Linked DNA regions of Arabidopsis thaliana. The protein of the gene in region 1 interacts with the protein of each later gene in a pairwise test. Each region holds a gene or a part of one and is shown in the gene's direction. Other genes may lie near its edges.

Evidence for each region.
Region 2: the proteins of BHLH32 (region 1) and PFD6 interact in a two-hybrid assay, tested with the Arabidopsis thaliana proteins (one large-scale study listed by BioGRID).
Region 3: the proteins of BHLH32 (region 1) and AT3G48550 interact in a two-hybrid assay, tested with the Arabidopsis thaliana proteins (one large-scale study listed by BioGRID).

The regions. Positions count from the first base shown.
Region 1 is NC_003074.8:9,367,224-9,372,491, forward strand, and holds BHLH32 (basic helix-loop-helix 32), read left to right. Parts: upstream 1-2,275; 5' UTR 2,276-2,374; coding exon 2,375-2,863; intron 2,864-3,327; coding exon 3,328-3,873; 3' UTR 3,874-4,264; downstream 4,265-5,268. UniProt on the Arabidopsis thaliana protein: Transcription factor required for MONOPTEROS-dependent root initiation in embryo. Transcriptionally controlled by MONOPTEROS.
Region 2 is NC_003070.9:10,505,884-10,510,127, forward strand, and holds PFD6 (prefoldin 6), read left to right. Parts: upstream 1-1,649; 5' UTR 1,650-1,782; coding exon 1,783-1,858; intron 1,859-1,952; coding exon 1,953-2,023; intron 2,024-2,142; coding exon 2,143-2,267; intron 2,268-2,504; coding exon 2,505-2,565; intron 2,566-2,881; coding exon 2,882-2,938; 3' UTR 2,939-3,268; downstream 3,269-4,244. Other genes in the region: AT1G29980 (choice-of-anchor C domain protein, putative (Protein of unknown function, DUF642)), read right to left, coding at 1-111; MNS3 (alpha-mannosidase 3), read right to left, coding at 3,649-3,898, 3,990-4,138, 4,227-4,244. UniProt on the Arabidopsis thaliana protein: Binds specifically to cytosolic chaperonin (c-CPN) and transfers target proteins to it. Binds to nascent polypeptide chain and promotes folding in an environment in which there are many competing pathways for nonnative proteins.
Region 3 is NC_003074.8:17,991,972-17,995,755, forward strand, and holds AT3G48550 (SHOOT GRAVITROPISM-like protein), read left to right. Parts: upstream 1-1,847; 5' UTR 1,848-2,076; coding exon 2,077-2,423; intron 2,424-2,494; coding exon 2,495-2,624; 3' UTR 2,625-2,808; downstream 2,809-3,784. Other genes in the region: AT3G48540 (Cytidine/deoxycytidylate deaminase family protein), read right to left, coding at 1-44.

The DNA.
Region 1 (5,268 bases):
GAAGTAAATTCAAAGACAAAATGATTTAGAATTCTTGGAGAAGGAAAAAGAAGAAGACAGCGTGGAGAAAGAGCCCAGAATGTTGAACGTCGTGTGGGCTTCACTCTGCACCACCACCCCAAAACCCTAGTTCATACCCTATCCTATAATTTATACTCAAAATTTTCTCATTTCTTCTATTATTTATCACCATTCATATGGAAGTATATATTTAATGAAGAATTTTCGGATCTATAGATCATTATATGTAAAATCAGTTTTTGATAAAACATGTGACAGTTTCACAAAAATAGTTCATCTTTCACAAAAATAGTACTCGAATCCGGTAGCATTTTAGTATCCTACTATTTAGTTTTTCCACTCCTTTTCATTATATATATAATGATATAAGTCTTTTTACCTCTTTTTCATAAGTCTTTTTAACTCTTTTTTTCTTTAAAAATGATTATATGCACATCTACTTGATAAACTGGCGGATGGTAAACTTGAGTTAGGTTTGAGAATTTTCACTAATTATTTTAGGATTTGAATCTTCTTTAGTATGAGACAATTAAGCTAACACACTCGAAGATATATTCAGATCATAATCAAAATTTATCCGTTGGATATGTATGAATAGATTAAATAAAAGAGAGAATCTCTTCGGTGCACTTGAGACAAATCTATAACATAGAAAATCTTGATTAGATTAAAAACTAGATTAAAGAAGGAAAGAAAAACAAGAAAGTGGGTTTGGCTATACGAAACGAGTGGGATTATTAATGATTAAAAGTAAAAGTCTTTTTGGTCTCTGGTCGGTCGACAATCCGTGTGTCCTGTGGTCAGTGTTTGTTTTTTATTCTTTTGGTTAATTTTCGAGTATTATTATGCTTTCCACTGAAAAAACAAAAACATTAAGCAGCCAAATGAAATTCTTTTAACGCGTTGTTTCAGAACCTGATGAAAAAACAATAATCATGACCTCTTTCTTCTTCCCCTTTAAATGCATGTCAAATTGTGTAGGAGTGTTTGATTATATAAATTAAATCTACTTTAGTCTTCTCTTCTTTGTAGAATTGTAGAGTCGTGGTATAAACTCGAAAATTTCTTATTATACTTATAGAAATTAGGCAGACGAAATGCTCTTGATTTGCTTACAATCTTAGATTAGGTTTAACCCAAGATAAAAAAAAACTTTGTTTTGATGAAGAAAAACACCTTAGTTACAATTTTGGACATCATCTTTTATTTTCACAGTTAGCATCTGAGACTTTTTTTTCTTTTCTTAAATAGAGTTCTTAGACAATATCTTTTGGGTCCCTGATCATGTCAAATGCCAAAAAAATAAATAAGTATACATGATTGTGTCTATTTGACCATTCTAACTTCTAAAAGTTTCAAATGAAATAACTTTGTCAACTATTATTTTTGCCTATGAATTAGGTGCTGACCAGAATCATCTTGCTAAAATCATGATTTTCTACTATTGCATATTATTCTTGATCGCATTTCACAGATCTTAATATATACGAAAATAACTGTATATATTATCAACTGTTACGATTAATATATAACCATGCATATCGAAATATTTTGAATTAGTATTTTTTTTGCTAAATAATATTTTGATATAGTGGTGGCGTGGTATTCCTCATTTACAAATCGCATGAACTTTATCCTAAATACGATTAACTTAAGTAGAAAAGGCACAAAAATCTTCTATTCATTAACATGAAATCAATTCTTAAGAACATAAATAAATAATAATATTCATAGGAAGCCAAATCCATCAGAGAAATCCACAAGATGATGACAGCTCCCCATTTAGAAGTCGTAAAAGAAAAGCAAAGAAGATGTGCAGCACTTGCAGTTTCATTTGTTTTGTTAGATATACCAGAAAAAAAAAAAGAGTGGTCCCATAAAAACCTGTAATATATAACATTTTAATCAAAGAAAATGATAGATTTTTTTATTAAACAGGAAAAACCACTAACTTTTAATTAAAAAATTTGGAATACAGCAATACATCAAAAATCCATTAACGGTACATTATAGTTGAAAATAAATTCAGGTTACATAATATTTTTTGCGTAATCACTATACTATTCTGCCATTTTATATGGAACTAAGTTCATACGTTATTTCTCACAATTCTCCTTGATGTGATCAAAGATAATGGCGGTCTGATTGTATAACCCGGTGAAAAAGGTTTTTTGGAAAGAATTCTTTAATATTAAAATATCAAATAAATTTTGTTTAAAAATTAAGGACACATTATATAGCACTATATATACACATGTGTATGCATTATCAAATGGGATGTTTGTGACCTTTTGTCTCTTCTTCTCTAAAATTCTCTTTCTCCCAAAAACTAAAAAACCAAAAAAACCAAAAAATGTACGCAATGAAAGAAGAAGACTGTCTTCAAACATTTCACAACTTACAAGACTATCAAGACCAGTTTCATCTTCATCATCATCCACAAATTCTCCCCTGGTCGTCGACATCTTTACCTTCTTTTGACCCACTCCATTTCCCATCTAACCCGACCCGTTATTCTGACCCGGTTCACTACTTCAACAGAAGAGCTTCTTCTTCCTCTTCTTCTTTTGACTATAACGACGGTTTTGTCTCTCCTCCTCCTTCCATGGATCATCCTCAGAACCATCTAAGGATTTTATCCGAAGCTCTTGGACCCATCATGCGTCGTGGCTCGTCCTTTGGGTTCGATGGTGAGATCATGGGAAAATTGAGTGCACAAGAAGTCATGGATGCTAAGGCTTTAGCTGCTTCAAAGAGTCATAGTGAAGCTGAGAGAAGAAGACGAGAGAGAATCAACACTCATCTTGCTAAGCTGCGTAGTATATTACCAAACACAACCAAAGTAAGTCGTTTATAAATAAACACTCTTCTCCTTTCATTATGGTTTGATATTTCAGAAACTAATTCACTATTTTGAAAACCCTATGGAAAAATAGTTTTAATTAATTAATGATCCTTCAAAATTTCTCTTTATTTAGTTATTATTGGTTAGAGTAGTAGTAATTGTTGTTGTTTTTTAATAAAGAGAGTAGTAGTAATTGTTCTTTTTCTGATAAATATAGTACTAATTATTCAGTTTCAAAAATGATAAGTACTATATTTTTCAATATTATCATTTTTATCTATCTCTGTTCAACTATTATCGTTTAGTAGTTGTAAATTTTCAAATTTAAAATAAATGTATCAAATCGATATTTTTGGTAAGTAATTATAGTCCACAGATGGGGTATTTTTGTACTAGTTATTATTATTGAAGAAGAAGAATAAGAAGATTAAATACTTATGATTCGTTTTGGTTTTGTATAGACGGACAAAGCTTCTTTGCTAGCGGAAGTGATCCAACACATGAAGGAGCTAAAACGACAAACATCACAGATCACCGACACGTATCAAGTCCCAACAGAGTGCGATGATCTGACCGTAGATTCGTCTTACAACGACGAGGAAGGAAACTTGGTGATAAGAGCATCCTTTTGCTGCCAAGACAGGACTGACCTCATGCATGACGTCATCAATGCCTTAAAGTCTCTTCGTCTTCGAACTCTCAAAGCTGAGATCGCAACCGTAGGTGGTAGAGTCAAGAACATCTTGTTCTTGAGCCGAGAATACGATGATGAAGAAGATCATGATTCATATCGTAGAAACTTCGATGGTGATGACGTGGAGGATTATGATGAAGAGAGGATGATGAATAATCGTGTGAGTTCGATAGAAGAAGCGTTAAAGGCGGTTATAGAGAAGTGTGTTCATAATAATGATGAAAGTAACGATAACAATAACTTGGAGAAATCATCTTCAGGGGGTATTAAGAGGCAAAGGACTAGTAAGATGGTGAATCGATGTTATAATTAGTTAATTAAGTCAAGTCTTTATTAACTAGGGTTAGTTAATTAGACTTGCAAAATGGGATTTGATTATGGGTTGGTGATATTAGTATTATTTTCGGTGTTTTTAGTAGTTGGGATTGGGTTTCTTCTTCTATGTTTTTTTAATCTATGAAGAACCCTTTGTTTAGGGTTTTATAGTGATGAGTTTGGTTTATATATGGTAGTTAAGACATTTTATCGTCTTAATTAATATAGGAAATGTATAGAGCTTGGGTTTGTATTAATTTATCAAGAAGTTTTATTTATCATATTCATGAACTCTGCAACTATTTAATCTTTTGTTTATAAGCAACAACACTACGTAGTAATAGTATAGAGTATAGTTTTATACTTGTCAATTTATTTTCTATTGTGACTGATATAAGAGAAATGACATAAAGAAATCTCTTACGCATATCCATTGTTATTTTTTCTGACAAACTACAACGATTATGTCGAAATCAGTTTTTAAATGTGCATGGGAGAAATAGTCTATGTCGTACTTACTCTATAATTTATTTCCTCAGTTTCTACATATTTTTTAAAACCACAATTTTTTCTTCACATCCGATATATAATTAATGTGATATTTCTTAAATTAGATTGATGTAGAGAGTTATGTGACGGAAGATTTGTGTAAGTTATATCAAGTGAAATCGAGAGTAGTAGTAGATCGAATCTTTTTCGTGAGAAGTGAAAACTTAGATCTTAGTTCTATTTATAGAAACTTAGTTTTGGGATCTCTGATAATATTGTCTCTTTCGCCGTTACTGACTTACGTTATTTATTACAATATTACAGAGACGGTTGATACCACAAGCACATTACGTCATGATCTCGTCATTTTGTATCTACTGGTTTTTCCTTTAGTCCAAAATTCAACGTAGAACCAAAAAAATGGGCTTATTAATTTGGTGTTTTCTTGAGTCTTATTACTTAGACAGCTTTAGACAAATTCTGTATTCCGGTCCAACAGTCGGAAATTTAATCCACTGAGGAAAAAATTTCAACAAAAAATATATAAATGGTAAAATATCGGCAATATTTAATAATGTAACAGGAATATGAAAGAAAAAAAAATGACAAAAAATAAAGAAAAGACTTTACAATTAAGAATTACGAGTTAAAAGGCCAAGTTTTCTAGACCCAATTTTGGCCCAAGAGATTCGATATGTGCTTTTGAAGAGTGTATAGCCGGTGGGTGATGATATCATTTTGACCCATGGGCTGATGTTGAGGCCCAATAAAGAAAAAATATAAAAATGGCCTATACAGGGATCGAACCTGTGACCTTCGCGTTATTAGCACGACGCTCTAACCAACTGAGCTAATAGGCCAATCTGATTGTAATTCTCGTTTTAGATATTAATAGATGTAATAT
Region 2 (4,244 bases), on another chromosome or scaffold:
CTCAACCGCCGGAGACTTGTCGTCAGCGACGGCGACTAAGACGGCAACGGAGACACTGAGCAGAAACAAGAAAATGGAACTCCATTTGCATCTATTGTTGCTCGGAACCATATCTCTCCTCTACTTCTTCTTCGTCTTCCTCAAGATATCTAAATGCTCTCTTTATCTCTCTTCTCTCTCTCTGTAAGTGTGAAATGTGAAAGTGTCTTTCTGTATGTTCTTTTCGGGCAGCGAGCAAAGACAGGGAAGGTTAGTGTCCTTTTATCCAAGATTCCTCACTCCTTGTCTTTTTTTTTCTTCTTTTTTTTTAACTCTCAACATTTAATTTCCACTATATTTAAAGCTCTTTACAGACAAAACTCCATGCACGCATAACAAAAAAAAAGTAAAAGAAATGTTTCTACTGTAACATAGTATTTAATTGTTCTAATTAGTAGAGCCACGATGGAATAAGTTTTAGTATTGACCTAGGTTCTCTCTTTTTTTTTCCCTCTCATTGGATCTGTGCTAGATGCGAGACTAAAGTGGCAACTTTACTTTTGATCCAACTCTATTTCTTTTAGGCTGTGGAGTGAATTATTAGTTTGACAACAACAAAAATGTCTTTGTAAAATCTTCGGCTTTTCACTATTATAGATTTGAAAAAATGTTGTTTAATACGTGAACTTTCAAAATTGGCCATTTAATACGTGAACTTTATATATGGCAAATTAATACATACAAAAATCGTTGACTGACAATTTTACATAAACTTAATCGTTGATCAAGCCAAAATCTACACGACGTTATCTGACATTAACAGACCGATAACAGTCGTTAACTAATCTTCGTTAGTTTCTAATACGACGTTGTTTCGAGTATCGCGAAAACGGAAAATGCCATTTAATACTCCAATTTTCAAATTGTGGTCATTTTATATATCAACTTCACATGTGGCCATTTTATATATGAACTAAACGTTGACCAATAGTTTAAAATATGAGAATGCGTTGATTAGACCAAAAAGACATACCGCTATCTAGACCTAGATATTCAGATTTTTGTTTGGATTCGGTTTGGATTTATTCAAATACCTAGGCCTAGATAGCGGTATGTCTCTTTGGCCTGGTTAACACATTCTCATTTTTTAAACTGTTGGTCAACGTTTAGTTCATGTATAAAATGGCCATATGTGAAGTTGATGTATAAAATGACCATAATTTGAAAGTTGGAGTATTAAATGGCATTTTTCCCGTTTTTGCGATAATCGAAATGACGTCGTATTGGAAACTAACAGAGATTAGTTAACGGCTGTTATCGGTCTGTTAATGTCAGATAACGTCGTGTAGATTTTGGCCTGATCAACGATTAAGTTTGTGTAAAATGGCCAGTCAACGATTTTTGTATGTATTAATTTACCATATATAAAGTTCACGTATTAAATGACCATTTTTTTAAAGTTCACGTATTAAACGACATTTTTCCCGTTATAGATTGAGGTATAAAGGGACGAAAAGTAAAAATTTGTGTTTATGAGAGTTATGTTCAGTGTTGATATGATCAGTGAACTAGAAGATATTACGTCACCAAGTGATAAATAGTGTTTTTCTTTTGTATGTAACTAAAACTAGGCTTGATAATAGAAGAAAAGCATATTGGGCCGTTAAAAAGTCCAAGTTAATACGGTTTTGGGCCTTACTAAAACACGGGGGCTTTAACGGAGTTTTGTTACTGCTCCTTGGTGGATCTGCGAGTTTTCAATAAACCACCGGAGTGAGGAAGAAGCAGACGACGACGACGAAGATGAGTTCATCGACTGTTCGTGATTTGCAGAGAGACCTAGAAAACAAGGCTAATGATCTCGGCAAAATCCAGAAAGGCAAGTTTCGTAGATTCTCGTAACTTTTCTCGATTTGATTCTTTTCTTGTTTCTGGAGGCGGGAAACCCTACTTTTCTGTGTTCATATTTTCAGATATCGGGAAGAATCATCAGCTGAGAAAGAAGTATACGATCCAACTCGGTGAGAATGAGCTCGTGCTTAAGGTATATGTTCATGTCTCACTGTTTAATCTGAGTTTTGTGGCTACTTCAACTGAAAAGAGAAGTTTATTTCGATTGTTGATTGGCTTTAATCTTTTTATGTGTCTGTCTTGTATCTACAGGAGTTAGATTTGCTGGAAGAAGATGCTAACGTCTACAAATTGATTGGTCCGGTGTTAGTGAAGCAGGATTTGGCTGAAGCTAATGCAAATGTTCGTAAACGAATTGAGTACATCTCTGCTGAATTGTGAGTTTCTTTTCTTTTAATGTGATTGAAGCAAATGCAGTTCGTTGAGAAACCTATTTTGGGATTGTTATTGTAAATAAAGAACCTTTCTTTCTTTCTAGGCTAATAGTGAGTGATTGCTGTTCATAAGTAGCTAAAATGTTTTCACTTCTAGCTATGTAACAACTATGAGAGATGTTGATAAAGTGTTTGAGCTATAGTGTTGTGACCTCAAGAATATTGTTGTATCCTTTGCAGGAAACGGCTTGATGCAATTCTTCAAGATATGGAAGAAAAACAAAACAACAAGAGAGAAACGGTAAGACATCTGCCTCTCATGCATTTATATACTTCTTTGAGTGCATTGAATTAGTGATACTAGGACTGCTACACCAATAATAGTCCAAACATTGATGCTCAGTATACTAAGCTCTAAAAAGATACTTTGGTAGCTATTGTTGTCAGTTTAAGCCTGCCCGGAAAGTAAATACTTGAACTTTGTTATCTCCTCTGTCTCGTTGAGTGGCCTACTGGCCTTGGCGCAATATGAGGATTTGCTGTTTCTGCACTTTCTTGGCTTTTAAATGGTGATAATGATCCTATGGTTTCAATTTATGGAATCAAAATATTTGCAGATAATGAAGTTACAACAAAGGCTACAAACTATCCAGGCAGGAAAAGCAAAGGCTTGATTGAGCTACTCAGTTGCAACCACACTTGTTAAACCCTTTCCACTGTGCTCGGCCTTGTCTCAATGGTGTCATATTCAGTTACTGAGGGTTCTTGTGGTTTCAGTTTATTGGGTGATTGATGTCTCTTTGTGTCACTAATCTTTTTTTGTTGACAACTAGACTTAAGTGTGTAACTTATACATGATCTTGTCGCCCTTTATGAAGTTATGAGTTTGGAGATTTACAAAAAAATATTGTGTGTGTGCGCCTAATTTGGTCTTCATACATACTTCAAGTCGATTATGTTCTATGCAACACCTTGCAGATTACAAAGAGCTAAGATGACCAAATGATCTCAAATTTAAAGGTTTATTAGTCATATCAGAATGATCTTATCTTGCAGTGTAAATGGTATGTATAAAAAACTAAAACCATAATTCATCTCCATGTCAATTGTGTCTGATTACATTTTGCCAAGTGAGAGCTTAACGAAAAGAGAGAATATTAGTCTCAAGAAACCTACTACTACAAGCAAAAACTTTTACGAGTTAAGTTATAATTTGGATGCAGAAGCTTATCTTACATTGAAAGTTATGACTTTTTTTCCTCAACGAACTAACTTCTTCTCCAATTGGCAGTGTACTATACATCACTTTCTCCATACCCTCTCTTAAGTTTGTGTATGTGTGTGTGTGTGTGTATTGTCTGGAGTAGTCTTCAAAACTAAGCCTTCAGGTGTTTCTTCTTATTGGTAATGGATGAGCTTCAGTGTTGAAAACAAACTTATCCAATGGTATCACTGAGTCATCTCCAAAGAGCAAGTATAAGTACTTCAATGTTTCACCAAGGAAAAATGTCTCCATCTTATCTCTTCTATGAGGAGGCACTTCTGTTACATCATCCAATGATGTGTATCCACCTGATTTCACCTTTGTGTACTTTTCAAAAGCTTCAAAAATTTGCCAACCTTGATCTCGGTATCTGCAATTTTAGAAATGTGTTAGCTTTAAGAGTAGAATAGTCCCCAAGAACTTAGATTAGTGAGGGAAAATCGGATGAATAGTTTTCATACTTTGTATCTTTTGTGATACGATAGAGGACAAAGAGTGATTCAACAGTTTCAGGGCGCAGTAGATTATGTCGATCAGCGGGCTTAATGATTATGTCATTTGCATACATAGAACTCTTATTCCCACCATCAAGACCATCCTCAGTGTAATCCTGCTTTATTAAAATCCAAGACTTAACAAAAAACAAGAAGAGCAAGGATGACAATAACGTTTTGGAAAAAAGTACACACAAAACTTACCTTTGTGTGAAAGTAAGC
Region 3 (3,784 bases), 8.6 Mb from region 1:
AAGATTGCAGATGTAGAGACGAGTGTAAGATCTCGAGAGTTCATGGGGAGCTTCAAAATCGATAAAACAGATTTATCCAGAAAAATCTTTGCTCTTCTCTCTTCACTATTAAATGTAGCGGGAAACTATAAGAGAGTGAAAATCCCCGCCATTCCGGTTAAGGCAGGTCTATCATTCGGTTCATATGATTGTTGGTTTAGGTTTCGGTTAATAACTAGATTGGTTTACTGATTGTGCTTTCTCTTCTCAGCAGAAAATTATGGCAATTAACAGATTTTGGTTAATTTCATTTTTTTCAAAAATTATGTGTTATTGAATCATTTATTTTATTATTTGTTATTTTTTTTTATTTTTTTTAGTATTGAGTGCTACCAATATATTTTTTGGATAAAAAAAACTATACCGGTCCAGATTTGATATCTCAACCATCTCTTCTATATTTCTATTAACTATGGATTTAAACTTTTTTGTATCGTTGATGTTTTGACAATCTTTTCAATTCACAAAAAGGTTATAAAAGATTGATTTTGAAATTTTGGTTAATGATCTTGTGAAAAAATTGACATTACCTTTCAAAATTTTTTTTTATAACTATAGTTCTATATTCTTATTTTGCGCTTTTAAGATACCGTCTCTGACTTTTTTATTGGTAGGCACGGTTGTGTATACCTATATAAGTTTTAGTTTTATTTCGCTATTTAGTTTTCTTTTGTCTAATGTAATGTAATATGAACTGGATAGATTAAGAAAACATAAAGTGGAAACGAACAAAGTTTGAAAAATAACAAATAATTGGAAACGTACATGAAACTATGAAACACATGAAACAAGTTAATAACTTTAAAAAAAAAACATTGAAAGCATTACGTACATTTTTATCTATAAATAACAAAATGTATTTAAAACATAACGACCAGGCAATCGTAGATCACAACACAATTCAGATTAGCTATTAAACCTGTGGAATTTTGTTTTTTTTTGTCATTTAGAGCGTCTATACTAATTAATGTAATTGAGATTGCAGCGGAAAGACTCAAACCCTAGTTTCCGAATTCTCAATCCTATAAATCTGTTATAATCTTTCAACTATTTAAATCACATATATAAATAAAATATAAACTGTTATATGAGAAGAATTTGATTAAATTACTAATATATACGGACTAAGCACATAGTAAGTGAGCTAGTTGCTAGCTTTTGAATCCATTAAGCCACGTGCATCACCAATTATTACACAACCCACATCCACATTTTCATTTTTTTAAAAGGATACGTTAATTAACAAATATACAATCGCAAAGTTATTAGTTACAAAAACATATAAAATGAGATAGATGATGAAAAAGTGAAAAGGGTTTCTTTAAAAAGCCTCTCATGCTTCAATAACGTGATCCGTTTATATCCCATCTTCTCTGTCTTTTCTTCAACGGAGATTTTCTCTACACCTTAACTATTTTTTTTCTTCCTATTTCTATCTTCGTTTTACTAACCTACCCTCCATTATTTTCACTTTACAAGTATGCTCCTCTTATGTTTTGGAAAAAAAAAAAACAATGAAATTTTGCAATTGCAAGTTATGTCATAATATATAGTAGCTTTAACGTAAAAAACAACATTAATCACGTTTGCGTTTACATGTTTATATTATTTCGACATAAACGCAAATAACATGTTCATCATTATAAAACATTCTAAAAATTTGGTTATTGGTGACTATTTATTTTGTAACTCGACAAAACTTAAAAAATCTTATATATCTAACCTATTTTTAACTTTAGTTGATTGTTGTACAATCACATCATTTCGTCTTATCATGGAACCACACTTGACAACAAATTCACATAATGGCGGTACGGTGGTCGTTTGTTAACTTTGAGGATTATATAAAAACCCAATGATCAAATAACCCAAAAAGATATGCATATTCGAATAAGGGGTTATAAGTGTAATTTCAAGTAGATAGTATATGTGCACAGACACGAAGCAGCTTACATATAAAGTGATTGGTAATTGCCATCCCCACACTTATTGAGAAGTGCAGCCTTTTAGCCAAAAAAAACAAACAAGAATACAAAAATGGCTGAACAACAAGATCATCACAAAGAGCTTCAGCTTTTACCTTCTCCACCGTCTACCGAATCTCCGGTAAGGAAACACCGACCAACAGTTATAACAACCGACCATCACAACAATCACCACCGTTCCTCCTCCATGATCCACCACGATCTTGACCTCAAACTCTCCATCAGCCTCAGCTCGATCTCAACAGCGGAGGAGCTTCCAAACGGTGGTGTGGAGGCGTTGAAGTGGCAAGCCGCGGAGCAGATAAGGCTTGCGGCTATAGAGAAGGCTTACGCCGAGAGGGTTAGAGAGTTGACTCGCCGTGAGATGGAGATGGCTCAGTCTGAGTTTGCTCGTGCAAGGTAGTTAAAGCTAGCTCGATCAAGTAATAATTCTGGTTTTGGTTTGGTTAACGGTTTTGAATTGTAACCAGGGTGATGTGGCAGAAGGCAAGGGAAGAAGTGGAGAGAGCTGAGAGATTGAAGGAGAGATCAATGACGAAGATCGATACGGCTTGCTTGGAGATCACTTGCCACTCTTGCAGACAAAGGTTTAGGCCATAACATAAGTATTTATTTGTTTCTCTTAATTATTGTTATTATAAATGGATATTTGAAGAGAAAGAGAATGTTGGTTTAATTTAAATTTTATTTTGTAGTTAAATTTAATTTGTTTTCATTTTCGAGTTTGGTAATATTATATAGTCCTTCCTTTTTATTTTCTTGAAATCGAAGGAAAACAATATGCTCAGATAAGAGATGATTTATGTTTCCAGCTACTTTACTTCCTCTTCTTTGCCAACCAAAAAAAAAAAAAAAAAAAATCATGAATACCATTTAGTGAATTACTTGGGAATTAGGGATAAAATTCATTAGTTACGTTGTCAACATTAGCTATGTCAATTCCTCAACGATCAGCTATTATATACTATATGGAGTATTAAAATCTAACTATGACATTTATTAACCAACAGAACAAAACCTAATTAGTAATTACAGTGATTAGTTAGTTAAATGCTTGATGTTAAAGTAACAAGAGATGGAGTGACATTCACAATCGAGGAACGTGGAAAATAAAAAAGAGAATGGACGGATTGCATGATTTGAATATAATTGGCTGACCCATATGTGATTCATTTGATTTGTTGTAATCATCTTTGAAAACGTTCGTTCAATGAAAATTGATGATTATTCTGAAAACAAATAATCAAACACACGTAAAGACATATGCATGGAGATGATGGGTATAATTATTGCATTAACATGCTTATTTCATCTACTTTAATCTCTTAGGTCGCTTTAAATAGTATATATGTGTGTACTATTATTTTGTGTTTGTGCATATACGTACATTTACTTACAGAAACTTGATAAATGTATGAATATTTTTGATAAGAGAGAGGATTAATTTTAATTATGTACTTCGTAGACTATGGTTTAAATCAATCGTGTACTACAGATAATATGTTCAAATTTAAATCCTAAAAAATGCCGAGTTTACGATCATACCCTAAATACGTAAATCAACTCGGCTGATCTATTCGGTTGGTCGTCATATTCTCTATAAAATGATACATACATATGAACTATATTAACGATTATGACAATATATAGAATATATGTAAACATTTTGAGAATATATATCAAAAGCACATTGTAATCCACTTTGTCATTTCTATGCCCATCTTTAGTATTTGGAACTGAATATACGTTTTCGAACAGAT